Stegostoma tigrinum: one gene and its partner. The protein of the gene in region 1 interacts with the protein of each later gene in a pairwise test. Links are inferred from orthologs where the notes say so. Each region holds a gene or a part of one and is shown in the gene's direction. Other genes may lie near its edges. The genes, in order: poc5 and uncharacterized protein LOC125458671.

The links.
Region 2: the proteins of poc5 (region 1) and uncharacterized protein LOC125458671 interact in binary tests that used the Homo sapiens proteins (3 or more experiments, as listed by UniProt). The link is inferred for Stegostoma tigrinum from reciprocal best matches to the Homo sapiens genes POC5 and CETN1.

The regions. Positions count from the first base shown.
Region 1 is NC_081356.1:105,376,646-105,389,559, reverse strand, and holds the start of poc5 (centrosomal protein POC5), read left to right. Parts: upstream 1-7,993; 5' UTR 7,994-8,065; coding exon 8,066-8,068; intron 8,069-9,021; exon of another isoform or gene 9,022-9,095; intron 9,096-10,406; coding exon 10,407-10,490; intron 10,491-12,914. UniProt on the Homo sapiens protein: Essential for the assembly of the distal half of centrioles, required for centriole elongation. Acts as a negative regulator of centriole elongation.
Region 2 is NC_081368.1:48,216,044-48,228,402, reverse strand, and holds the start of uncharacterized protein LOC125458671, read left to right. Parts: upstream 1-7,774; coding exon 7,775-7,903; intron 7,904-12,359. Other genes in the region: nsdhl (sterol-4-alpha-carboxylate 3-dehydrogenase, decarboxylating), read right to left, coding at 1-53, 820-948, 1,039-1,185, 2,342-2,503, 4,723-4,740. UniProt on the Homo sapiens protein: Plays a fundamental role in microtubule-organizing center structure and function. Plays a role in sperm cilia formation.

The DNA.
Region 1 (12,914 bases):
CTGCACAAAGTGAGCCCCAGTCAGTATAGGGGAAGTTCAAATCACCTTCACAACAATACTGCTGATTTTACATCTTTCTAAAATCTGTCCACATATTCTGTCCTCTATCTCCCACTGACTGTTGGAAGGCCTTAGTATGCCTCCAGCATTCTGATTTCACTTATCCACTTCCTGTGTTGTACCCATATTGGCTCACTGCACAAGTCCTCTACGATATCCTCTCCCAGTACAGTTGTGAGATACTCCTTTACCAGTAATTGTTCTGGATCGCTAGACAAGTGACATCACCACTACACCACCCGCTCTAGATGGAGCAGGGATCAAACTCACTGTCATTAGCACCAATCTGATCTGAACCAGATAACTGGACCTCCAAGGAGACTAAGTTGCCAGAGCAAATGTGCATGGTATTTGATTTGATTTGATTTATTGTTGCATGTTCCAAAATCTCCCCTCCCCCAACTGCATCCCAAAACCAGTCCAGCTTGTCCCCACCTCCCTAACCTGTCTCTCCACCCACCTATCCCCTCCTCCCACCTCAAGCCCCACCCCCATCTACTACCTACTAGCCTCATCCCACCCCCCTTGACCTGTCCATCCTCCCTGGACTGACCTATGTCCTCCCTAACTCCAGTGATAGACAGTACACTCAACTTTACTGGCTCCATCCCCGCCTCTTTGACCTGTCTGTCTCCTCTCCACCTATCTTCTCCTCTATCCATCTTCTATCCACGTCTCCCTCTCTCCCTATTTATTTCTGAACCCCCTTCCCCTCCCCCATTTCTGAAGAAGGGTCTAGGCCCAAAAAGCCAGCTTTCCTGCTCCTCTGATGCTGCTTGGCCTGCTGTGTTAACCCAGTTCTACCCCTTGTTATCTCAGATTCTCCAGCATCTGCAGTTCCTACTACCCCTCACCACAACATCTTCCTTGTTTTAAGTTCTAAATTCCAGAAATTAGTTTAACTTGCTGTATAATATTCCTACTATCTTACCTCCATTTTAGTTTAAATATATGAAAACAGGGCATACGGAAATGTTAAATGGGTCTATACTATTCATTTACTCTGAAATACACTTTTGGGTTGTGTCATTTCTAGTAATTCTTGCCAAGTCAATACAGTGGATTGCTCACATTAATCTCATTACTCAGTTTGGCCATTGTTGTTACTTATTCCCTCCTTTCCAGTTCTACATCATTCATAGCCAGAGGCAACCTGAAGTTGCTAAGTACCCACTCAGACTTTCATGTTGAGAATGCATGACCTCTGGCTTGTATGCACATTTGGTGAGATAGGAAGCTGCATATTAACAAGCTAAGATTTGCTGGTAATAAGGCCCCTAATTATCAACTTGCCAGTACCTAGTGAGAAACTCGTCTTTATGCCTAGAAGATGCAGAAATGATCCCAAAGTCAAGCTAGGCCTCACCTGACTTTTTGCACATTTCAGCCACAATCCAGCTTTGGCTCATGCCATGCAGACCCCTTTAAGATTCATCCTGTGATTTTGAAGTTAGATTATTTATGGTCTAAAATACTTCATACATGAGGTTAAATTTGCAAGTAATACCAAGACCAGTGGCAAGAGCTTCTTTAAATACATAGTTCAGAAGAGAGAAGCCTGTGTGAGCATAGGTTCCCCAAGAGAATGAGGCTGGGGAATTAACGGGGAATCAGGAAATGGAGGACATATTGAATAAATACTTTGCGCTAGCTTTCACAATAAATGACATGAATAGCATTCTAAAATTACTAAATAACCATATGGAAAAGGAGGAAAGGAAATAAATATAATAATTATCACCAGAGAAAAAGTGCTAGGGAAACAAATGGGGTTAAAGGCTAATAGATCCCTGATGGAATGTATCCCAGAATATTGAAGGAATTAACTACAGGGATAATGGATACATTGACAGTAATCTCTCAGGAATTGTTTTGCAAGCTAACCAGAAAAATCATACCTTACCTATGTACATCAGGGTAATTGAACATAATGCAGAATATAGTGTTACAGCTGCACAAAAGTTACAGAGAAAAATCAACTCTAACATATGAGAGATCCTTTCATAAGTCTGATAGCAGCAGGGAAGAAGCTGTTCTTGAATCTGTTGGTATGTGTTTTCAAACTTTTGTATCTTCTGCCCAATAGAAGTGTGTGGAAAAGAGTATAACGTGCTTGGGAGCGTCTTTAATTATGTTCATTGTTTTCCCGAGACAGCAGGAAGTAGAGACAGAGTCAATGGTAGGAAGGCTGGTTTTTATGAGGGACTGGGCTGTGTCCACAACTCTCTGTATTTTCTTGTGGCCTTGGGCAGAGCAATTGTCATACCAAGCTGTGACGCATCGGGATAGGGTCCTTTCTGTAAAATTTGGTAAGAATCATGGTGGACATGCCAAATTTCCTTAGCCTTCTGAGGAAATAGACATGTTAGTGTGCTTTCTTGACAGCAGTGTAGACATGGGGATGGACCAGAATAGATCATTAGTGATAGTCACTCCTCGGAATTTGAAGCTCTTGACCACCTCTACCTCAGTACCATCTATTCAGACAAGGGTGTGTCCTCCACCTTGTTTCTCGAAGCTTAATTTCTATTGTGTATCTGTTGTTTGACACTTATATTTACAGCTAGCAAAGAATCAATTAATCATTTAATCATTGAGAGAAAGCTGCAGCCAGGTGGGGGACATTCCTGTGCACATATAAATAGAAGTACGCTGAAATCTCTTGGTATATATTTATGTATCTTTGTAAATCAAAGGTGCTAAATGAATAACGAGTTGCATTCAGTTTTCTGTCAGTTACCATCTGGTGATCTGAGCTTTGACAACCATGCTGATAGTTATAAGATGGCATGATTTTACAGAGTCATCAGGATCTGGAAGAAACACAGGCAACGAATGGTGAGTGTCACGCCACTACAGGCCCTTAAATGAAAACTTGTCAAATTCCCAAAAGGACATTGCCAGTCACAGTGCATTAGCTGTTGTGTTAAATTGTAGTGTAGCTCTCCGAAACATCAGGATGTAGAAAAGAACTTGCCTCAGGTTTTTCCTAAAACAGTCATACTCCAAGCGACAGAATTAGGACTTAGAGCAGTGTGCAGATTTGTGGCTCAGCGAATCCACACATTGAAAAGTTGAGCCGAGTGGCAATCCCAAACTGCTGATCTCCTTGGAGAATTCAGCTCTTCCTCTATTTGTTTCTTGATCCATATTGAAGATTTTGGGTGTCACTTTAACTTGAATTGTAGTCCTAAGTCGCTTACATTTATAGACTGACTTTGAAAGAGTCAATCTACAGTTAACTCATCCTGATTAGATATAAGCCTAATTTCAGGTACAAATATATTTTCATGGGTTTTACCAAATTTATGTAGTTTATCATGCAAGCTACAAAATAAATAATACTTTATAACAAAAATGCTTTTCAGTCAATCCACTTTGCAATGTCACTGATTGGCTGGGTACAAGTCTCTTATTCTCTTATGCCCACCAAATCTCTCCTTTTGTGCCCGGTCTTCTTTCTTGCCAATTGACCCATTTATTAAACTTATGACCTGTGCGTGGTCAGAGGCACCCTGAACTGTAATTGTCTTGGAAACACATGAGCAGCACATGAACAGCTCATTGTGAATCTTGAATTGGCTAGGTAATATCTGCACAATGAATGATTATTTTCCTTAAAAGTTGTGGTCATCTTGTTGTCATCATTTCTTACCATCTCCTGTCTAAATTCTGAAATGCCAATCACTTTGCAAGATCATCCTTTTTATGATAGTTTAGCAACTCTACAGAGATATAGAAACTAGGAGCTGGAGAAAGCCATTCGACCCTTCGAGCCTGCTCCACCATTCAATATGATTGTGGCTGATTTTCTAACTCAATGCCATATATCCTCTTGCTCTCCCTTGTGGTCCTCACTAACTAAAAATTTATCAAACTTTCTTGAATATGCTCAATGATTCAGCTTTTGTGTTAGTGAATTCCACAGGTTGACCACCCTCTAAGTGAAGAAATGTTTCCTCATCTTTGTCCTAAATGGCCTACTGAGACTGAAACCCCTGGTTCTGGACTTCCCAAATCAGGAAGACAACCTCCTCTCATTCAGTTTTCCAGTCCCATCAGAATTTTATACATTTCAATCAGATCACCTTTCATTCTTCTAAACTCTAGTAAAAACAGAACCAGTCAAACCAATTTCTCCTCATACGACAGTCCTACTAACCCCAGTTTCAGTCTTGTGAACTTTTGCTGCACTCTCTCTACAGCAAACATAGAACATAAAACAATACGGCGCAGAACAGGCCCTTCGGCCCTCGATGTTGTGCCGACCTGTGAACTAATCTAAGCCCCTCCCCCTACACTATCCCATCATTATCCATATGCTTATCCAAGGACTGTTTAAATGCCCCTAATGTGGCTGAGTTAACTACATTGGCAGGCAGGGCATTCCACGCCCTTATCACTCTCTGAGTAAAGAACCTGCCTCTGACATCTGTCTTAAATCTATCACCCCTCAATTTGTAGCTATGCCCCCTTGTACAAGCTGAAGTCATCATCCTCAGAAAAAGACTCTCACTGTCCACCCTATCTAATCCTCTGATCATCTTGTATGTCTCTATTAAATCCCCTCTTAGCCTCCTTCTCTCCAATGAGAACAGACCCAAGTCCCTCAGCCTTTCTTCATAGGGCCTGTCCTCCAGACCAGGCCTCCCTTAGGCAGGAACACCAAAAAGGCACACAATGCTCAAGTAGTAGGTCCTGTATTGCTGTACTATGACATCCTTACTTCTGAACAAAAATCCTCTACCATTGGCCAATTTGCTTTCCGAGGTTCATGCTGTACCTGTTTGTTTACTTTCATTGACTGGTGTACAATGACACAAAGTCCGTTTGTATATGCATATTTCCCTGTATTTCAGATTTAAATAACATTCTTTCTTTCTGTTTTTCACACCAAAGTGTGTAAATGCTCATATTTAGACATGTTATTCTCTCATGTGTTTTCCCTCACAATTATTCTCTCTATGGATCCGAAGATTCTTTGAATCTTCCTCACAACTCAAAACCTCATCTAGTTTTTTTTCAACAAACGTGGAAACATTGCTTTTGGTTACTTCATTCAATCCTTGTGATACACTACTAATTACCACCGTTTACCTGGAAAAAGACAGATTTATTCCCAACCTCTGTTGCTGGTTTGTAAAGCAATACCTAATCCATGCCCGCTTTTCTTTCTCCCTTCTCTTTTTAAATAGTTGAGTTACATTTGCCACCTTCAAATCTGTACTATCTGCTCCAGAATCTTTAGAAATTTGGAAGATGACCACCAATACATCCAATATTTTCAGGGCCCCTTCTATCGGTACTCTGGACACAGATTATCAGGACTTGAGAACTTGTCTCTCTTTAAACAATTTAGTTTAAAAACTCTGATTTCTTTTCAATTCCTCCCTTTCATTAGATCGTTGGTTTCCCCAAGATTTGTGTGAAATTATTTGTGATCTCTTTTGTGAAGACAGAACCATTGTATGTGATCAATTCTCCTGCTGTTTCTTTGTTCCCCATTATCATTTCCCTCATTTCCCTACAGGAAAATGAGCTGGGAGATAAACCAGATTACTACAACATTGATTGAATATGCCAGTGTGACATTTTGCAGAGGTATACATTTCTCTTTTCTACCTTTTTTGATTTTGCTCTTATTCTTTACTATTTTAGAATATTCCAATGTGACTAATGCTGTTTTTATACAATCTTATGTTGTTTTCATTGGTTTATCTTGCTTTTGGATCATAGGTTCTATTGGTTTACTTTCCAGCAGACCATAAGATCACAACAGCAGAATTAGGTCATTCAGTCCATTGAATCTGCATCACCATTCACTCACGGCTGATATGTTTCTCAATCTCATTCTCCTGCCTTCTCCCTTTACTAATCAAGCACCTGTCTGTGTCTTAAATACATTCAATGCCTTCACCTCCACAGGCTTCTGTGGCAATGAGTTCCACAGCTTAACCACGCTCTAGCTGAAAAGGATTCCTCCTCATCTCGGTTATCCTGTCATTCTGAGGCTGTACCCTCAGATCATAGCCTCTCCCACTCGTAGAAACATTTTCTGCACATCCACTCTTATCCAGGCCTCTTAGTATTCTGTAAGTTTCTATGAGATTCTTCTCTCATCCTTCTAAACTACTTCAAGTACAGACCCAGAGTCCTCACCCTCTTCTCATATGTCAAGGCCTTCATCCCAGGATCATTCTCATAAACTTTCTCTGTACCCATGCCAGCACATCCTTCTCGAGATATGGGGCCCAAAGCCATTCATAATTTTCCAAATGCAGTTTGACCAGAGCCTTTGCAGCCTCAACAGTACGTCTGTGCTCTTGTTTTCTAGCCATCTCAAAATGAATTCTAACATTGCATTTGGCTTCCTAACTGCTAGCTGAACCTGTGAGTTAACATTAAGAAAATTGTGAATTAAGACTGCCAGTCCTTTTTTGCTTCAGATTTCCAAAGTCATTCCTCATTTAGAAAATAGTCTATGCCTCTTTTATTACCAAAGTGCACAACCACATTGTATTCTATCCGTTAATTCTTTGCCCGTTCTCCAAGCCTGTTCCAAGTCCTTCTGCAATCCTGATGAAGTGAATGAACCAAAACATCGACTTTCCTGCTCCTCTGATGCTGCCTGACCTGCTGTGTTCATCCAGCTCCACACTGTTTTGACTCTGACTTCAGCATCTGCCTCTCTTGCTATTTTCTTCTGCAGTATTCCCTCTTCGTCAACAGTGCCTGTCCCTCCACCTAACTTTGTGTCATCTGCAAACTTAGCAAGAATGCCCTCAATTCCTTTGTTCAGATCATTAATGTATAACATCAATAGTTGCTGTCTCAACACGGACACCCATGGAACTCCACTAGTCACCAGCTGCCATTCTAAGAAAGACCCTTTTATCCCTACTGTTTGCCTTCTGTCAGGTAGCCAAGCCTCTATTCATCTCAGTGCCTTGCCTCTAACACAGACTCTTACCTTATTCAGCAGCCGTCTATGCAGCACCTTGACAAAGGCTTTCTGGAAATCCAAATAGATCATGTCCACTGTCTCTCCTTTGTCTAACTTGCTCAGTACCTCCTCAAAGAATTCTAACAGATCTGTCAGGCACGACCTCCCGTTGACAAAGCTGTACTGACTCTGCCCTATTCTACCATGAACTTCCAAGTATTCCTCAATCTCATCTGATCCAGGTGATTTCCTTTCAGCTTCTCCAGCAACTTCTCCTTAGCGGTGGCCACGACACTCATTCTTGCCCCTGACTCTCTTGATGCTCTGGTACATTGTTGGTGTCTTCCACTGTGAAAACTGACGTAATATATCTCCTCCACCATTTCTTTTGCACACCCCGCCACCCCAAGTCCCACACTTACTGCTTCTCCAACCTCTGACTTCCCACTAGTCTTCATCACGTTGGATGCTTTTTCTTTTCACTTTTACTTTGTCCTTGAATTCCCTTGTCAGTCATGGTTGCTTCATCACCTACCCCCACCCCCACATGTTTCTTCGTCCTTGGGATGAATTTCTGAATTACTCCCAGAAATTCCTGCCAAAGCTGCTGCACTATCTTCCCTGCTAGGCTCTCCAAATAGCGAGTGGATCAGTTGACGTATTTTTGATGACAGGGTTTTTAAATTAAAAATGGCTAGGACAATGGAAATTTTCTTTTTTTCTGAATAGTCAGCGCCAAGAAATGCTCCACTATCCCCTGACAAAGCGCAGACCTTAAGAAGCTTCTGATCACTCGCTAATTCTCAAGCGCGGGTTGGGAGAGACGCCCAGCCAATTGGGGGTGAGCGTCCCGCGTCTCTGCGCCATGGCAACCACACGCATCCGGGAGTTCTATCCAATCCGCGCACAAGGCGGTTCAACGTTGGTGTTGCAGGTTAGACCAATCAGGGTGAGCCTTGCTTGTCTGAGCCTCCAATAGTTTGGGCGGTTATTAGCGTGCGGTCCGTTTGAAACGGTTTAGGAGAGAGCACGGACGGAGGTCAGGAGCGGCGGTTGGTGGATATGGTAAGGGTGTTCGGTGATTTAGTCGCGGTTAAACTGAGCTATGTTAAATATCCTGGGTCCTTCAGCTGAAGCTCGCAGTCCCGTTAACAATAAGGCGGCGGTAGCCGCGGGTCGAACTTCATTCCTGACGATCAGGCCCAGTGTTCCAGTCGCCTGCTCCTTATGAAGCAAAAACCGAAAGATCTACGGCTGCTGTTAATCGGGAACTAAAACAAGTTGCTGGCAAAGCTCAGCGGGAGACGTAGAACAGAATCCCTACAGTATGGAAACAGGCCCTTCGGCATAACAAGTCCACACCGACCCTCGGAGAATCCCACCCAGCAGCATCTTGACTGCTTGCTTTTATAAGATAGGATATCTTGGACTCTGGTTGATGTAAAAGCAGTTCCTTAAATTGATCTCGATCTACTACAGTTATACCTATTCACTTAATCTATAGGTATCCTGATATAAATTTCCTTCTCATGCGTGGATTGTGCCTGCATAGAAACTGACTTGTATTGAGGATGTTTTAGGTGAACATGGAAGCCATCGAATATCTGTGTTAACTTCTATGACTGACTTAATGTTTAATGCATGATAATTTTGCTGAATGAACGTAAAATAGTGGGATGATGGAAATCTGAAATAAACGCAAAATGCTGGAAAACTCAGCAGGTCTGGCAGCATCTAGAGTGAAAAAGTTATTGGTTCTAGACCAATATGACATAACTGGAGAAGACTAATATTGGACTTGAAACATTAACTTTATTCTACTGTGTACAGTTTTGGTCCTTGTATGTTTTAAAAAAGGTTATACTGGCATAGAAGGATATTCAAAGTTGATTTCTGGGATGAAAGGGGTTACTTATCAAGGACAGGGTAGATATTGAGAAGATATTTAAATAAGAGATAGTTGCAGGATAAGGGGTCACTCATTGAGAAGTGAAATTTGAATTAATTTCTTTTCACAGATAGTAATCATGTCTGAGGTTTTCTATCCCTGAGAATTGTGGATGCTGGATCACTGGAAGTGTTTAAAGATGAGGTAGATAGACATTTCAAATATCACAGATTGACAGCTGTTCTGAGCTGGCATGAAAATGGGGTCGATACCATCGGCAGATCAGTTGTGGTCTTGTTAAATGGTGGGGCAGACTTGAGAAGCTGAATGGACTTCTTTTATTTGTGTTCTTAGTTCACTTCTTCTTTCTGAGGAAGAGCATCTATGATCCTTGCCTTGTCTGGTCTACGTGTTACTCCAGATTCTACAGTGATGCGATTCACTCTTAAGAACCGTTCTCTAGTAAGCTAACTTGTTCTAGGGCAGTTATGGATGGGCAATAAATGCCAATGATTCTCATTCCATTATATAATAAATTTAAAAACTTTTCCTAATGATTCCTTGCTTAGTTACCATTAGTTTATTTTTCTGTTTACCTTCCTATAAGTTAAGATGTTTCACTGTTTGAAAGTTGCAATATAGATGTATCTTTGGCTTTCATGGAGAAAGATTAACATGATGGTTTTTTTTTTCTTAATGAAACCTGCTACCTGTGTTCTGGCACTGCCTTCATAATCAGAACTGAAAGAAATATACTGCTTCATGCTCTTAATTTCAGAAGCTCTTAATAAGTTCCCTTAATGTAAAGAGTTGAAAATCTCAACTAATTTAGTATGAATGTCAGTGGATTGGCAAAATGTTTGGTGGGTTTTTTTTTAAAATTGCGCAATTGTAAATGTAGCTGAAGTACGATTCTGTTACCAGCATGTTCTACTGAAGTAGTTTGTTTACATTAATTAATTTATTCAGGTAGGATCAAATTGGAAGTAGCCAAACTCATACCATTTTGAGCTAGAAATTTGTCCTCCATACGAAAATTGATTATAATGGTAAGAAAACTCGTAACTTGCCTAGAATTTTTAAAAAGAACTAGACTTTGATTTTGGTGAGCTGGATCGTGACCCTATTAAATTCCTTGAAGTATTTACTTACTAAAGTTTTTTTTAAGAAAGCTGTGCTCACTGTTCTCTAATTTTTGTAGGAAATACCCTTAAAGAACGGGTTTGAGTTCACACTTCATACATTCTTTTTAAGTGGCATTGTATGTAGTCTAAGGGAATTGACTCTCGTGAGCCATCTTATTGTATCTGTGATTGCAAGAAGCATGTTAACATAATATCTACTGGGGGATGGTGGCTCAGGTTAAATTTGAGGTCAGAAAGATTAATACTTTTCAGATCAGAAGATTGAAATAGTAAACAGATATTATCAAAATTGTACTGATTTTGTTGTCTCTCTTCTGGGCCTAGATTAGTACTCGGGGGAAAAAAAAATTGATTGCTTTCTCTTGTGCAGATGTCCTCTGATGATGAAAGGATTTCCAGCCCTGTACTCCCCAAAGATTCAGATCGAGGTAGTTCAGTTTCTTCTGATCTACAGGTAGGGAAGAGGAATTTCATTTTTGAGTATCTAAAGATAAACATAATTGAACACTTTAAATATTTAAAAAGAATAGTCGTTTGATAGCGTAGGTTTTATGTATTGCTTGGGGAGGAAAATGTGCATTTTGTTTCAGCACCATTACTTGTTCATACAGTGCGCATGGCACTGGCATGGGCCAGCTTTAATTGCACAAAGATTAGCCAAGAGTCAACCACATGCTAGTGAGTATTGAGCCACAGGTAGGCCAGACCAGGTAAGCACATTAGTGAATCATTTTTTTAGCAACAGCTGATGGTGCCTACATTGTCCCCATTAGCTTTGCTTTTTATTACAGATTCTGTTACCAGAGTCCTCCTGTTCTTCAAGTTTTAATTACCCATCACCGCTGCCACTTTGCTACTATGCAGAATGAGTCAATGTGAAACAGCTACCTTAGCCTGTTGCTCAAACTTTCGAGAAACATTATTCTGAATCTAAGTTTAAATTGGGCACTTTCAGAAGAAAAAAAGGCATTCTGCCTATTGTGCAGATCAGGAATGTAACATACAAATTTTGATGCTGATGTGGAGCTGGGCATATAGTCTGTACATCCCAAAGTCTGGCCAGTTGTGTCAAATAACCTAGCACAAAATATCTTGCAAGAACTGTGACAAACACTACATTGGACAAACAGGCAGCAAGCTAGCCACCAGGATACATGAACATCAACTAGCCACAAAAAGATATGATCCACTATCACTAGTATCCTTACATACAGATGAGGAAGGACACCACTTTGATTGGGACAACACATCCATCCTAGGACAAGCCAAACAGAGACACACACGAGAATTCCTAGAAGCATGGCATTCCAACCAGAACTCCATCAACAAACACATTGATTTGGAGCCTATCTACCATCCTCTGAGAAAAAGAACAGGAAATGACATCACCAACCCAAGGAAACCTGAACAGATAAATAGAAAGCAGGACATAACACCAGTGCTTCATCGGAGGCTCACTGATGATGTTACCCAGAATGGTGACGAAACGTCTGAAAACGAACCTTCCAGCTCAGCGAGCAAACTCGCATCCAGAACCTCAACCTGAGTTACAAATCTTCTCAAAACTCACTAACCTAGCACTTCTGTTTGCAACAGCCTGCGCAGTGTCTAAACTCTGTCTGACAGTAGATGTTCTGGACAACATTTCGTAAGTAATACGAGTCAGCAATAAATTACACTGGCAGCCCATTCCAGATTGTCTGAGGCTCGCCCCTAGGAAGAACATGTACACTTGCTACACCTGTTTCAATTCAACAGAATAGGATCTTTAGAATTTTTTCCCCAAGGCAAAGCATTGACCAATCCAAGTGACCCAGCCTTGTTTAAAATTTAAACAAAATTTAACAGTTACCAATCATGCTTCAAAAAGCATTACATTCTCCACAATAATGCCTATGCCAATCAATCAGCACTGTGCTTAGTCATTAACGCCGCGTTTGACAGGGTGGATATGGAGAGACCGTTTCCACTCATACGGGAATCAGGAACCATTGGGTCACTGTTTAAGAAAGCGTTCCTTTTGGTGGATACTACTGTTTTTCTTTATTCATTCTTGGGATGAGGGCGTCACTGGCTAAGCAACATTTGTTGCCCATCCTTAATTGCCCAGAGGGCAGTTCAGAGTCAACCACATTTCTGTGGGTCTGGAGTCAAATGTAGGCCAGACCAGGTAAGAATGGCAGTTTCCTTCCCTAAAGGACATCGGTGAACCGGATGGATTTTTCCTGACCGTTGACAATGGATTCACAATCATCATTAGATTCTTAATTCCAGATAGTTATTGAATTCAAATTCCACCATCTGCAATGGCGGGATTTGAACCCTGGTTCCCAGAATGTTATCTGGGTCTCTGGATTAACAGTCCAGAGATAATACCACAGGGGCATCGCCTCCTACAAAGTGCATTTGATGTTGATAAACCCACAATGCTGCCGAGGAGGAACCTGCTTGATACCACACGTAGAATGGCAACATTTTAAAAGAAACTGCTTTTCCAATCAGGGATCAAATACTGCCTTGATGTCAAGAGCGATCGCTCTCACTTCACCTTTACAGAATTTTGTCAGGGGAAAATCCTTGCAGTGTCTTCAGTCATGTCTCAATATCACAAGCAATAAATCAAATTCTCTGGATACTGGCAGGTGAGTGATACTGAGGTGAAGTACAAGGTTCGCATATCACTGAGGGTGGGGTTATTTGCAGAGATATGCCTCTGGTTAGTTGTTTCATTGTCCTTCATCGTGATAGGATGTGGCAGAACTGCAGAGCTTGAATTTGATCTGTTGGTTTTGGAACTGCTTAGGTCAGTCCATCATTTGCTGGTTATGCTGTTTGAAATGCCAGTAGTACTGTTAGTTTCTTGATTCCAGTTAAATCC
Region 2 (12,359 bases), on another chromosome or scaffold:
CGAATTGCAATTGTCATGAAGTTCTGTTCTGGATTATTAGCACGAAGAATTTCCTGTTATGTTTAAAAAGAGATGTCAGTTGTTAACAGGCAGGGAAGAAGCTACAGCTTCCACTTTAATTAATGCAATTTGCAATTTTCTCATTATATTTTCTAAATGACAATACAATTCCTGAATCTTAATACTTAGAACTAAATGTTACAAGTATTGGACGGTCAAGTGTACCATACAATAGTCAGAGTGCAAGAGCGCTTGAAAGAACAAACAGACATGTAAAAGAGCAAACATATGCACGGAAGGAGGATGCATGTAGTCTCTCCAAAAACATAAAGGTCTACATGAATAAGTTAGGAGACTAGCAACAGAAAATTACTTTTACAAGTTTACTTTTAAATTGCATCTATTGCAGAACTGGAATGCTAACTGAATGGTCACGTGGATCAGGTGAGTTTTGACATCCAGGCTTTGACCCAGCATTAAACAACATAAAAGCTACACAGATTGGTAATCTCTGAAATCATAATCATGCCAGGTGTGGAAAGTATAAATACAGTGTACATCTTCCATTATTAGGCTGTAAACATATTGTTGTAGCGGAGGAATGGGAACTGAATAGAATCATCAATATGGAGTAGATCTTTATGAATAAGGTGATTTTTCTTAACAGAAATGTTTTACCAGAAAGTGTTGCAAAGTAAATACTTCAGCTCAAATAATCAGTAAAGTTTATATCATAAACTAACATATCTAAGACAAATCTAAATTCATAACTACAATTTCATTTTTAAATTGAAAGTGATGTCAGACTTTTAAACTTACCATTTCCTGCAAGATCTTAGTTTGTGAATAGTAGTCAATGGGCTTCTTAGCGTATGGCAGGTCTTCTGAACCATTTTTTAGGTCGGAGCCTTCAAATACGACACTAGCACTGCTAGTCAGCACCAGTTTCTGTGTACAAGAAAAATGTGCTAATCATGAAAGATTGGTGGAATGGCAGGAAGACAAATGGTTATAAAACTGCGATGTATAATTTCTTACCTGAACACCTGCTTCTTTACATGCTTCAATTATCGTTTTAGTCCCAATGTAATTAACCTTATAGAAGAGCTCTCGGTTGTCACTAGAAGGTGCTGGAGAGGCACAGTGGAACACGAGGCTCACACCCTGAACTGCTGGCAGTATATCCTAAAGAATCACAATTTATTAATTCACAACTTCATAGTTTGTAATTTTACTTTCAATACACAAAGACACTTAATATCAAAATTATCTAGAGGCACAACCTGTGGATATTTGCTGAATAACAATCATTTCTACGTTGCAACTAAATTCAATATCTGAGATTTTAGGTGAGGGTCTAGGCTATACCAAAACTAAATCAATCTGTGGCATAACTTCGCCAAGATGTCTCCAAGAAAACTTAGCTGTCAGATCCATCGTGATGACCACAAAAGTGCTAAAAAAAAAAGCAGACAGCAAATACTATCTCTATCAAATCACATTAACATTTCTGATAGGTGGCTCCTGTTAGAATATATTCCATTGACATTCAGCTGAGAGCACAAAGAAGGTCCGTTATCATAGACATTCACCTCAATTTCCCGTGTTGTGGTACATTCGGGATAGAGCATTGATATAACAAGGGGAGCACTCTGAGAGACAGATCTCCTTAAATTTCATTGATGAACATCTCAGAAGTACAGTTTGGGAAAGAATAAGCCATTACATTCATTGAATACATTCCTACCACATAGTTTGTGCCATTAAAAATATGTGTATATACACACACAACACTAAGATGTACAGTTCATAATTACAGTTCCCCTCTGAAAGTGACCGTAACTTCAGCACATCAGATAAACACATCAGCACAGAAATTCTGAAGTTACAGTCTGTCACACAGAGTTCCAATTTAGGAACTCACTTCTCAGTAAATCAATTGTTAATTCTTCACCCTCTACCAAAGCCTACATTGATTGGAGAAACTTTCTGCTCATCCAATCCTTGATGTCAGTAATCTGTCGGTCAGTCTGATAACAGGGAATTTGAGGGAGGTAGTGGTGAGGCAGAGCTGTGTGGCGTCAGCATACCCATGAAAAAGTTTTTCTCCAGTAACAATGTCAAGTCAGGAACAAGTGTTGTCAGTCCTAGATAATATTTTTTAAACTGAAGGCTTGTGTTAAGTTCAGTTAACAAAATTAGAGTCATACAAAAAAAGGAATGATATATCACTGGCAAATCAAATATTACAAAGCCGAGCTGTTTCTCTTTATGCATGCTGCTGGCATCATGAGAAACTGAGACATCAATATTACAATGTTAAAATGTACCTTATACCAACCTCTTTACAGCACAAATCCGCACTGAAGAACTGAATTCTTTCATTCTCAACAGGTTTTCGAACATCCAAAATATTAACAGTGTAGCCTTTTTCCAGAAGCCTCTTCACCAAATGCTGACCCAAGAAACCTGAGCCCCCGATAACTGTACATTTCTTATTGTGCTATAAAACGAAAAGTCAGTCAAAAGTAAAACATATTACATTTTTGTCATCTATAAAATGCACAGCAGGCCTGCCAGCATCTGAGGAGGAGAGTTAGTGTTTCAAGTTAATAATCTTTCATCGAAACTGGGAAAAGTCAGAGATGTAATAGATTTTGAGCAGGTAGAGGTAGAAAAAGAGCAAGGGAGAAGGTCTGTGACAGGGTAAAATGCAGGGGTATTAAACATCAGGAGGGAACGTATTATCACAAGGATCAATGCTCCAAAGCCACAATCAATAATGGGGCAAGTAAAGGAATAAAAGATATGTGTAGGCAACATGAAAAACTGCCAACCAAAAGGAAAAAAAAACAAAACTTTTTCAATATCTTTGTTGAAAAGCCAACAAGGAAACAAAATGGGAGCAGAGGTTATAATCTAAAATTGTTGATCTTAAAATGTCATGGGGAGATTACAGTGACCAGAAATTTAACTGGCCTGCGATGCATAAATAAAGTGGCTACCAGAATAGGTCAGAGGTTGGAAAGTAGGTCATCTTCTGCTCCCCTCATCCCTATCCACCACCTACAGGACACAAATTGGGACTGTGATAAAATATTCCCCATCCACCTTCAACATTTACTCCCTTCATCACCAACTCTCTGCGGTAAGAGGATGTCCGATTAACAAGCTGCTCTATATTAATTCATCAATGCTGCTCTCACAGCATCTACCCAACCTGGAACCTCGAGATCTTAGAAGACAAGTGCTACAGATGCATGGGAACACCACCCATTGCAAGGTCTCCTCCAAGCCACTATACCTTGGAACTACATCACTGTTCTTTCACAGTCACTGGCTCAGAATTCTGGAACAACTTCCCTAAAAGCCCTACAAGTCTACAAGCACCCCACAAACTACCACAGTTCAAGAAGGCAGCATGCCATCACTTTCTCCAGGATGATTAATGCTAACTTAGCCAGCGACACCAACATCCCAAGAACAACAAAAATAACTCAAAACCTCTAGCACTTCTAATGCAAGTTCCTTTTCCATAATCACAGCACCAGGTACCCAGTTTTGATTCCACCCTCGACTGATTGTCTGTGTGGAGTTTGCACATTCTCCCCGTGTCTGCATGGGTTTCCTCCAGGTGCTCTGGCTTCGTCCCACAATCCAAAGATGTGCAGGTTAGGTGGACTGGCCATGTTAAATTGCCCGTAGTGACTCAGGGTGTGTAAATTAGGTGGATTAGATATGGGAAATGTTGGATTATAGAGAAAGGGTAAGAGAATGGGTCTTTGGAGGGGCGGTGTGGACTTGTTGGGATGAATGGCCTGCTTCCACACTGTAGGGATTCTATGATTCTAATCAAAGTCTCTCTCTCTACCTGACTGATTGAAATGACCTCAATCTTGTCTCTCCCTTTAGATGCATTCCAGCTATCAACTCCTCCCTTCCTTCCTCGAACCATTCTCGTGTTCCACTTGTTCTCTCATTCTACTCCACCAGACTTTGCAGACAATTGATCATCCTCTGCCATTTCTGCCAGCTCAAGTGTGATGTCAAATACAGTGTCCTTCACTTCCAGCATTCCAAAAGAACCATTCCTTTTGCATGGTGTTGGTCCACTCCTCAGTCATCATTTGTGCAACCATTAAAAAAAGCAATGGATTCTTTTAATAGCAGGGAAAACGTCACCTTTCTCCATGATACCATTCATCAGATCTCAGGTGGCATAATCACAAAAGTGTTACAGTGCAGCAGGCTGCGACTCGGCAGATTGTGTCCGCACCAGCACTTCTAATAAACATCATTAACTGCTGTCAATATCCTGCCTTTTCACTATGTGCACAATATAACACCATATTAGGCATTGGTTCCTTTGGCCTTGCAACATTAATCCTTTTATCAGGTGATGTCTCCTAATTTACACTCTATCACTGTCTACCTTTTGTGATCTTTTCCCTGCCTTCATCCTTTCACTTTCTCCAAGTCTGGGGAGGCTCGTGGACCTGAAGGGTTAAATGCTTCTCCCTTTCGCCACAGGCGCATCCCATACATTTCCAGCAATTCATGTTTTTAGAGTGAAAACGCCAGGTGTATTTGCATAAATGATTCGGGCAGGTGATTACCATTGTATTACAACATAGTCTGCACACTGCATCGACAGTTCCCCATTCTTTGTGTATCCAACAAAACCTCGCAATATTATATAGCATTAGCCCGCAATATCCTTACCCTTAAACGTGTGGCCATCTCCCCAGTAGCAAAGTCTCCTCGTAGATTTTAGAATAAAAGATACAGGCACAGCTAACGACCCGAAGCTCCACCTCTTCAACTACATCGATAATAGTAGCCCTGTCTCTGATTGGTCGACATACCGCTTTTCGGCAACCGTTACCCGGGTGACACATGCATCCTCCAATCGGATTATCGTATGACCATGGGCTGGTGATGGCACGTGAAGCAGTGACCAATCAGAATGGGGCTTCGTTTCACCCACAGGTTACCCATTCTCCGGGTCAATCGGATGAATGGGCAGGGGTTGGAAATGAAGAATTGTGGATGCTAGAAATCAGAAACAAAAACAGAAATTTCCGGGAAAACTCAGCAGGTCTGGCAGCATCTATGCAGAAAAAGCAACATTAACTTTTCGCTTCTAAAAAAGGGTCACTGGATCCGAATCGTTAACTCTTTTCTTTCCACAGATGGTGCCAGACTTGTTCGATCAACTTCTGCTTTTGTTGTTGGTGAATGGTCAGGTCCCGCATAGCTGCGAATAAAAGCAAGACATCACTAAAGTCAAGAGACGAAATAAATACAGTATATTCTGGAGAAATTGAGCAGGTGTGAGAGCATTCAGAATATTGTATTCAAAATATTGTTTCGATTTATTGTCAGAATATTGTTTCTTCCTTCACAGATGGTGCCAGACCTGCTGAGTTTCTTCACATTTATTTATATATAAAGAGTTGGAAAGTTGGAAAAGTATATTTGAGATAATACTCTATTATTTTGTATGGGCTGCTGATGGTCTTATTGGAAACGAGCTGCAAATATGAGAGGCTTGGGCCTGCCAAATGACAAGGAAAGTTTTAGAAGGATATGGGCCAAATTCAGGCAAATAGGACTAGTTTAGTTGGGCGAAAGGGTCTGTTTCCATGCTGTATGACTCTATGGCTCTTCACTAATGGAGGACAAACAAATACAGCAATATGTCTCTCTTGTCTTTTAGCAAAAGAAACGGGACAGGAAAGAAGAGTAAGCTGTTGTAGGCTTCTAATTTCAGTTGTCAATGAAAAGTCAACATTATTTTGGGCAATGTGAAAATGGGAACTGCAGATGCTGGAGAATCCAAGATAACAAAGTGTGAAGCTGGATGAACACAGCAGGCCAAGCAGCATCTCAGGAGCACAAAAGCTGATGTTTTGGGCCTAGACCCTTCATCAGAGAGCAGTTTGGGCAGTTTGTTTGTTTCCTCTGGCAGGCCTGCTTGCAACAGTGTATGGGCTGAAATACAGCTGCCACTGAGGGGGTCCAAATACAGGAAGCATGACCCACTTGAGAAAGTGTGTTGATTCTCAAGCACGAGTATTCCAGGGTCACCACAAAAAGTTAGTGATGAAATCAAAGTAATGTATACTCCTAATTGACCTATTTGTTGGAATAAAATTAACAAAATCAAACCACTGATCAGGTTTTTTGAACATAAAGAATGGCTGTTTATTACAAAGATTTAAATTCAAGTCACAGGTACACGCGATCAATATAACTCTAATCCATTTTGAAACCCTTGCACACATGCACAAACAAAAACAAATTGTTATTTTGGGCGGACAAAAAATACTGAGAACCAGAATTCAATACCACCAGTGGGTAGCTTTAAAATTGTGTTCATTTTGCCAAGACCTTCTGTTCTTTGATAAGAGATAGTAGGAACTACCAATGCTGGAGTTTGAGATAACAACGTGTGTGTAGCTGAATGAACACAGCAGGGCAGGCAGCATCAGAGGAACAGGAAAGCTGACATTTCCACACTTTGTTGTCTTTGATGGGAGAAAATAACTTGTTTGCTTCAGGTACTTTTATTGGAGAGGGAGATACGGATACGAAATTTGCTGTTTTAGCAGTCAAGCGGTTTAACCCCCAATCCAGAGTGTTGACGAGATAATAAAGTGTGAAGCTGGATGAACACAGCAGGACAAGCAGCGTCTCAGGAGCACAAAAGCTGATGTTTTGGGCCTAGACCCTTCATCAGAGAGGGGGATGGGGTGAGGGTTCTGGAATAAATAGGGAGGGAGGGGGAGGCAGACCGAAGATGGAGGGAAAAGAAGATAGGTGGAGAGGAGAGTATAGGTGGGGAGGGGATAGGTCAGTCCAGGGAAGACAGACAGGTCAAGGAGGTGGGATGAGGTTAGTAGGTAGGAAATGGAGGTGCGGATTGAGGTGGGAGGAAGGGATGGGTGAGAGGAAGAACAGGTTAGGGAGGCAGAGACAGGCTGGGCTGGTTTTGGGATGCAGTGGGGGGGAGGGGGCGAACTGGGCTGGTTTTGGGATGCGGTGGGGAAGGGAGATTTTGAAGCTGGTGAAGTCCACATTGATACCATTGGGCTGCAGGGTTCCCTAGCGGAATATGAGTTGCTGTTCCTGCAACCTTCGGGTGGCATGATTGTGGCACTGCAGGAGGCCCATGATGGACATGTCGTCTGAGGAATGGGAGGGGGAGTGGAAATGGTTCGCGACTGGGAGGTGCAGTTGTTTATTGTTGACGTTTGGTTTATGTCATTTCCTAGAATGAAGCATATCCTTACCAAGATTATTGCTGAAGAAGCAGCAGATACCGTGGTTTTCAGGGTTCCACAATTCAAGAGCCCATGACCCTGGTCCGGCGTATTCCTTCTTCCAGTGGGATCACTTCACACAGTTTTGAGGGGGTGAGAGAGACGGAAACCCTTGTTAACACTGATATGGATGAGGGAAACTTTAAGGGTCAGTGGAGGATTTACTGGTAAAGGCTTCACGTCCGATAGGCAGTACTGAGCAGGTCAGAGTGATGAGAAAAACGCACACCACACACTTCCAAATACAAACCGCCAAATTTTTCCAACACCCTCGTCTCCAAGCCAAAAGCTAGAAGCCGTCAACGGCAATTACACCAGACGTCACTAACGTGACAAATCAGAACGAGGGGGCGTTGCCCTGCAGTGGGAACCGCAGTCGGATTGGTGAATATTCAGGCGGAGCCCGCCTACTAGCCAAAATGACTGACGCGTCACCGGTGACCATGGGAATGACCGCTTCTGGACTGCGATTGGTCGGCCGATTGCTATGGAGCTTGAGCGTCTGGAAATGCGACAGCTGGGGAATTGCAAATTTGTTGTTAACGTATTGTCTAGAGCGTGTGGAAATGGCTGCCAAGGTGAGTAAAGGCACTTCTCATCCGATATTCTGACCGGCATTTTAAAACATTCGTGGGAAAGCCGCCAACGGCTGCTGACAAATAGCAGGTGAATAGCGGGAGCATTATGGGGGAAGCTGCGAAATTTGGAAGTGTGTGGGAGTGACAGTTAGGAATCGGGTAAAATGGGGAGAGTCGGATCGTAAAGACCTAATTTGAGGCTTGGGCATCATAAAGCAAAGGCAGAAGGTAGGACGATAAGTGAGTGCACTGTTGACTATTTAACGTACCAATTAAAGGGTTTTGGGCGCGGTTCGATTTCGACTCCACTGTAACCCAGCACAGACGCAGGATGAGCAAGAACAGACAGGGTTTTTCCTCCTGAACCTCGTTTCTAACACATGATAGATAATTCACTTTCCTTTGAACCATTCCAACGTAAACTAAAGGTTAAAAGCACCTTCTGCCAAAATTGCCACTGTTGTCTAGCTGTTTATAAGATTCCGGGAACAGAAGTGAATGCTTTATTAGTTAATTTACCGACATTGTTTTCAAGAAACGTGATGACTTGGGTGCTGAATGCTCTAACAATTACGAATTTAAAAAGTTAATCATCGTAAACACTGGCACATTTGGTGTAGAGTTTAATGAAATAACGGAGCAAGACACCAAAATATTCTAGACTAAATGTTGCACCAAGCACACACTTTTAATTCTTTAAACTGTAGCCCAACGCTGATGTTACTTAGGTGATTTTGATATGCGGGTACAAGAGTACAATTCAAGTTACAGGTTGCTAGTGATGATTTCATCTCTATTTGCATTGGGGCGATGTTAAATTGTGTTCAAAAACGCTCCTGTAAAATGGCTTAAAATACAGGATATTGTTCAATCAGTTGGGTTGGATGCCAATACCCCCTAACCATAAAATAAATACCAATTTTATTTTTGTTGTAATATAAAATCAATACAAAATTGTTGCAGACACATAAATGAGGAACTAGTCCCTTATTAAGGGATTGAATTGATAGAATCCAGCGATCGTACTGGTTGTTGAACACTAACCAATTTTACTGACAAACCTAAAACTCTTTCATTTGTTTTCTTAGTTTATCTAATTCTGACAAGTGTCTTATGATAAAATGGTCCTTGTAAAACTTGAGATATTGTTTACGATCAGGGCAGTAATTTTATGGTTGAATTACAGGCACAGTGTCTCAAAATTGGATATCTCCAGACCAAGATTCTTCTAAATTTTGTGTTTGGGATGACACAGGCATGTAGAGTGTTGAGTGAATGTTTTCTGAAGTAAAGTTTGTAAAGTGGCAGTTATGAAAAAATAGAGATAATGCTGTAAGATAAACTAGGAAAATCTTTGGAGTTAGGGCTGTTAATGGTGTTTTTTCTTTTGTGGAAGTATGGCAGAAGTTCCATGTGAATAGGTTGCCTGCTGCAGTTCAGTGAATTTTTGGTAGAGTGGAAGTAGCTGCAAGCAATTACCCAGACATCTAATTGAATCAAAGATGGTGGTGATAAAAGAAAGTCAAGTGATGACAGCTTTAAAAAAGTCTTGTTTTTGATATTGAAGGTTACTGAACAGATGGATATGAAGCATTTTCTGTACAGATATCAGTTAGGGCATATGACAGAGAAATTGTTTAGAGACATACTTGGTTAATTTTCTTGTCATGGCTGGAGTGGGGAGGCTCCTTTCAGTTTAAATGTATACTGATTTCTGATAATTGCACAGCATTTAAAAAATCGTTTTTCATTTATGGAATGTGTTTTTTGCTGGCTAAGTCAGTACTTATTGCCCATCCATAACTGCTCCAGAAAAGATGAGGATGAATGGCCTTTTTTTGAATTGCTGGCAGACCTCAGCACATCAACAGTCCTCTGAGAAAAATGTTTCCAGGATTTTAGCCATGGGACAATGAAGGAAGAGCAAGTGACTGTGCTAGGTTTGCAGTTGTCCGCAGGTTGATGCCAGGTGGTCTGTCTGGTTTCATTCATTTCTTTGGACTTTGTAGCAACTTGATACAGTTGAGTGGCAGTTTAGAATCATCCACATTGCTGTGGATCTGAGCATTGATCAGCCAGATGGGGTAAGGATGCTTGCCTCTCTGTCCAGGAAGGCGTTAGTTATGTGGGGATTTTCTTTTACAAGAGTCAATAATGGATTCATTGGACTCACTTTCAATTCTAGATTTATTCATTAAATTCAAACTTCACCAGTTGCCATCAGGGATTTTGAGCTCATGTCTGTATATTATCAGCATAAACCTCTGGGTTACTAGTCCCTAATTATGCAAGGTTTAAGCTTAGTTTTCATATCTCGAACTAATTCTCAAAATTGGCCTTTTAAGCAGGGCAACTCACCTACATGAATTCATCCAGCTTTAAAATAGGAAATAAATGCCAGCTAGTTAGACTTTAAGAGTCCCTGTGATAATATTAGCTGCTTAACAAATTTCAGTTGACAAACTGAAGAAACGATCAAAGTAGCCATATCGGATATCACAGTTTTAAAACAAAACGGAGAGAAAGGAGGATCCAGAGAGTCACCACTATCTAAAAGAGAGAGAGAGAGAGAGAGAGGGAGAGAATCTGTGCTTAGAAGTAACACGTGTGGAAACAACAGCTTCATGAAGATTGAGTCAGAGGGAGAGTGGAGTCAGAATCTTCTACAATGTGAGAAAGTGGGAACAACAGCTTGATAAAGAGTGATCGATTATTCCAAGAATTTTTCTGAAGATGGGTCTAGACCCGAAACATCAGCTTTCCTGCTCCTCTGGTGCTGCTTGGCCTGCTGTGCTCATCCACGTCTTTAACCTTGTTGTCTCTTATTAGGAAGGGATGTCTGCTACCTCCTATTGGTGGTGGTGGGGGGGGGGGGGGCGGCGGAGTTCCAAGACTCTTTTTAACAGTAATACAGGAGCAATGATGTATTTCTAAGTCAGGTTATTGTGTGTTTTTGTTGAGGGCACATTGTTGGTGATTGTGTTTCCGTGCTCCTGCTGATGATGCTGTTCTGGGTGAGGTGCTGTCGGATAAACCTTGATATTTAAAACAAATGAAACAGCCAGGAAAACAGTGACGTTTGATGTTGTGGCTAGCAATCCATTCCAGGAGAAGCCTTGACGAGTTACTACAATGCATGTTGTACAGAGCAGTCATTGCTGAGGTATCATCAAGCGGGCTGCTTTGTTCTGAATAAAGCTGAACTACTTAAAATATTGTTAGAAATGGGTTATCCAGGGAAGTGAAGAGTATTTCGTAACGTTTATGACTTGTGCTTCGCAGAAATAAATATAGAAAAAAGGAGCAGGAGTAGGCCACTCGGCCCATTAAGTTCTGCTACTCAACGTGATTGTGACTAATCTTCTATGCCAACAGCATTTTACAGAGTCCTGGGTGGCACAGTGGTTAGTACTGCTCCCTCACAGTGCCAGGGACCCAGGTTTGATTCCACCCTTGGCGACTGTCCGTGTGGAGTTTGCACATTCTCACCGTGACTGCGTGGGTTTTGTCCGGGTACTCCGATTTCCTCCCACAGCCCAAAAATGAGGATGATGAAAAGGGTGGAACTCAATGATCCCTCTAAATTTTCTGGGGCCTGTGTAGGTCCCAGAGTGGCATATTGCGTTGAGTGGCAGTTGAATTGCGTTTTTTTTTGCCTTTTGTTAATATTTACAGTTACAGGCATTCTACATGTATATGCCAATTTTTATCATTATTAACTATCAAAAACATGCATATATACTATCTCACAACTACAGATATTCGATCTGCTAAAATAAACAACAATTGGAAATTCAGAAGTCTGGGGACCTGTTTGGATTTGGTGCTGTGTTCAAGATATATACTATTTGACCAAAAGAGGATCATAGAATCCCTACAGTGTGGTTTGCAGCTATTCAGCCCATTGGGTCTGCGCCATCTTTCCAAAGAGCATCCCACCCAGACCCAACCCCCACTCTATCATCATAACCCTACATTTACTGTGGCTATTTCACTTAGCCTGCACATCCCTTGTTGGGGCAATTTAGCATGGGCAATCCAACTAACCTGCGCATCTTTGGACTGTGGGAGGATACTGGAGCACCCAGCAGAAACCCACACAGACACAGAGAGAATTGTCTGTGTGGAGTTTGCATATTCACCCAAGGCTAAAATCAAAACCACTGAGGCAGCAGGGCTAACCATTTTGTCACCCACTAGAAAGAGTATAGCACGAACAGAAGGGAAGAAGTACCATGCATTGGGTGGGAATTGAACCTGGACCTCCTGCATAACAGGTGGGAATTCTACCACTGTTCCTGAATTGCCACCTCCTTACTAGCAGTTTATTAACTCCTTTATTGACGGTCTTTTATACCAATCTTAATTTGCTGCCCAACGATTGTAAACTGCATTTGGATTAAAATTTGTCCAGATGAAATGTATGACCCAACTTGTATCAAATTGTCCCAAGCGA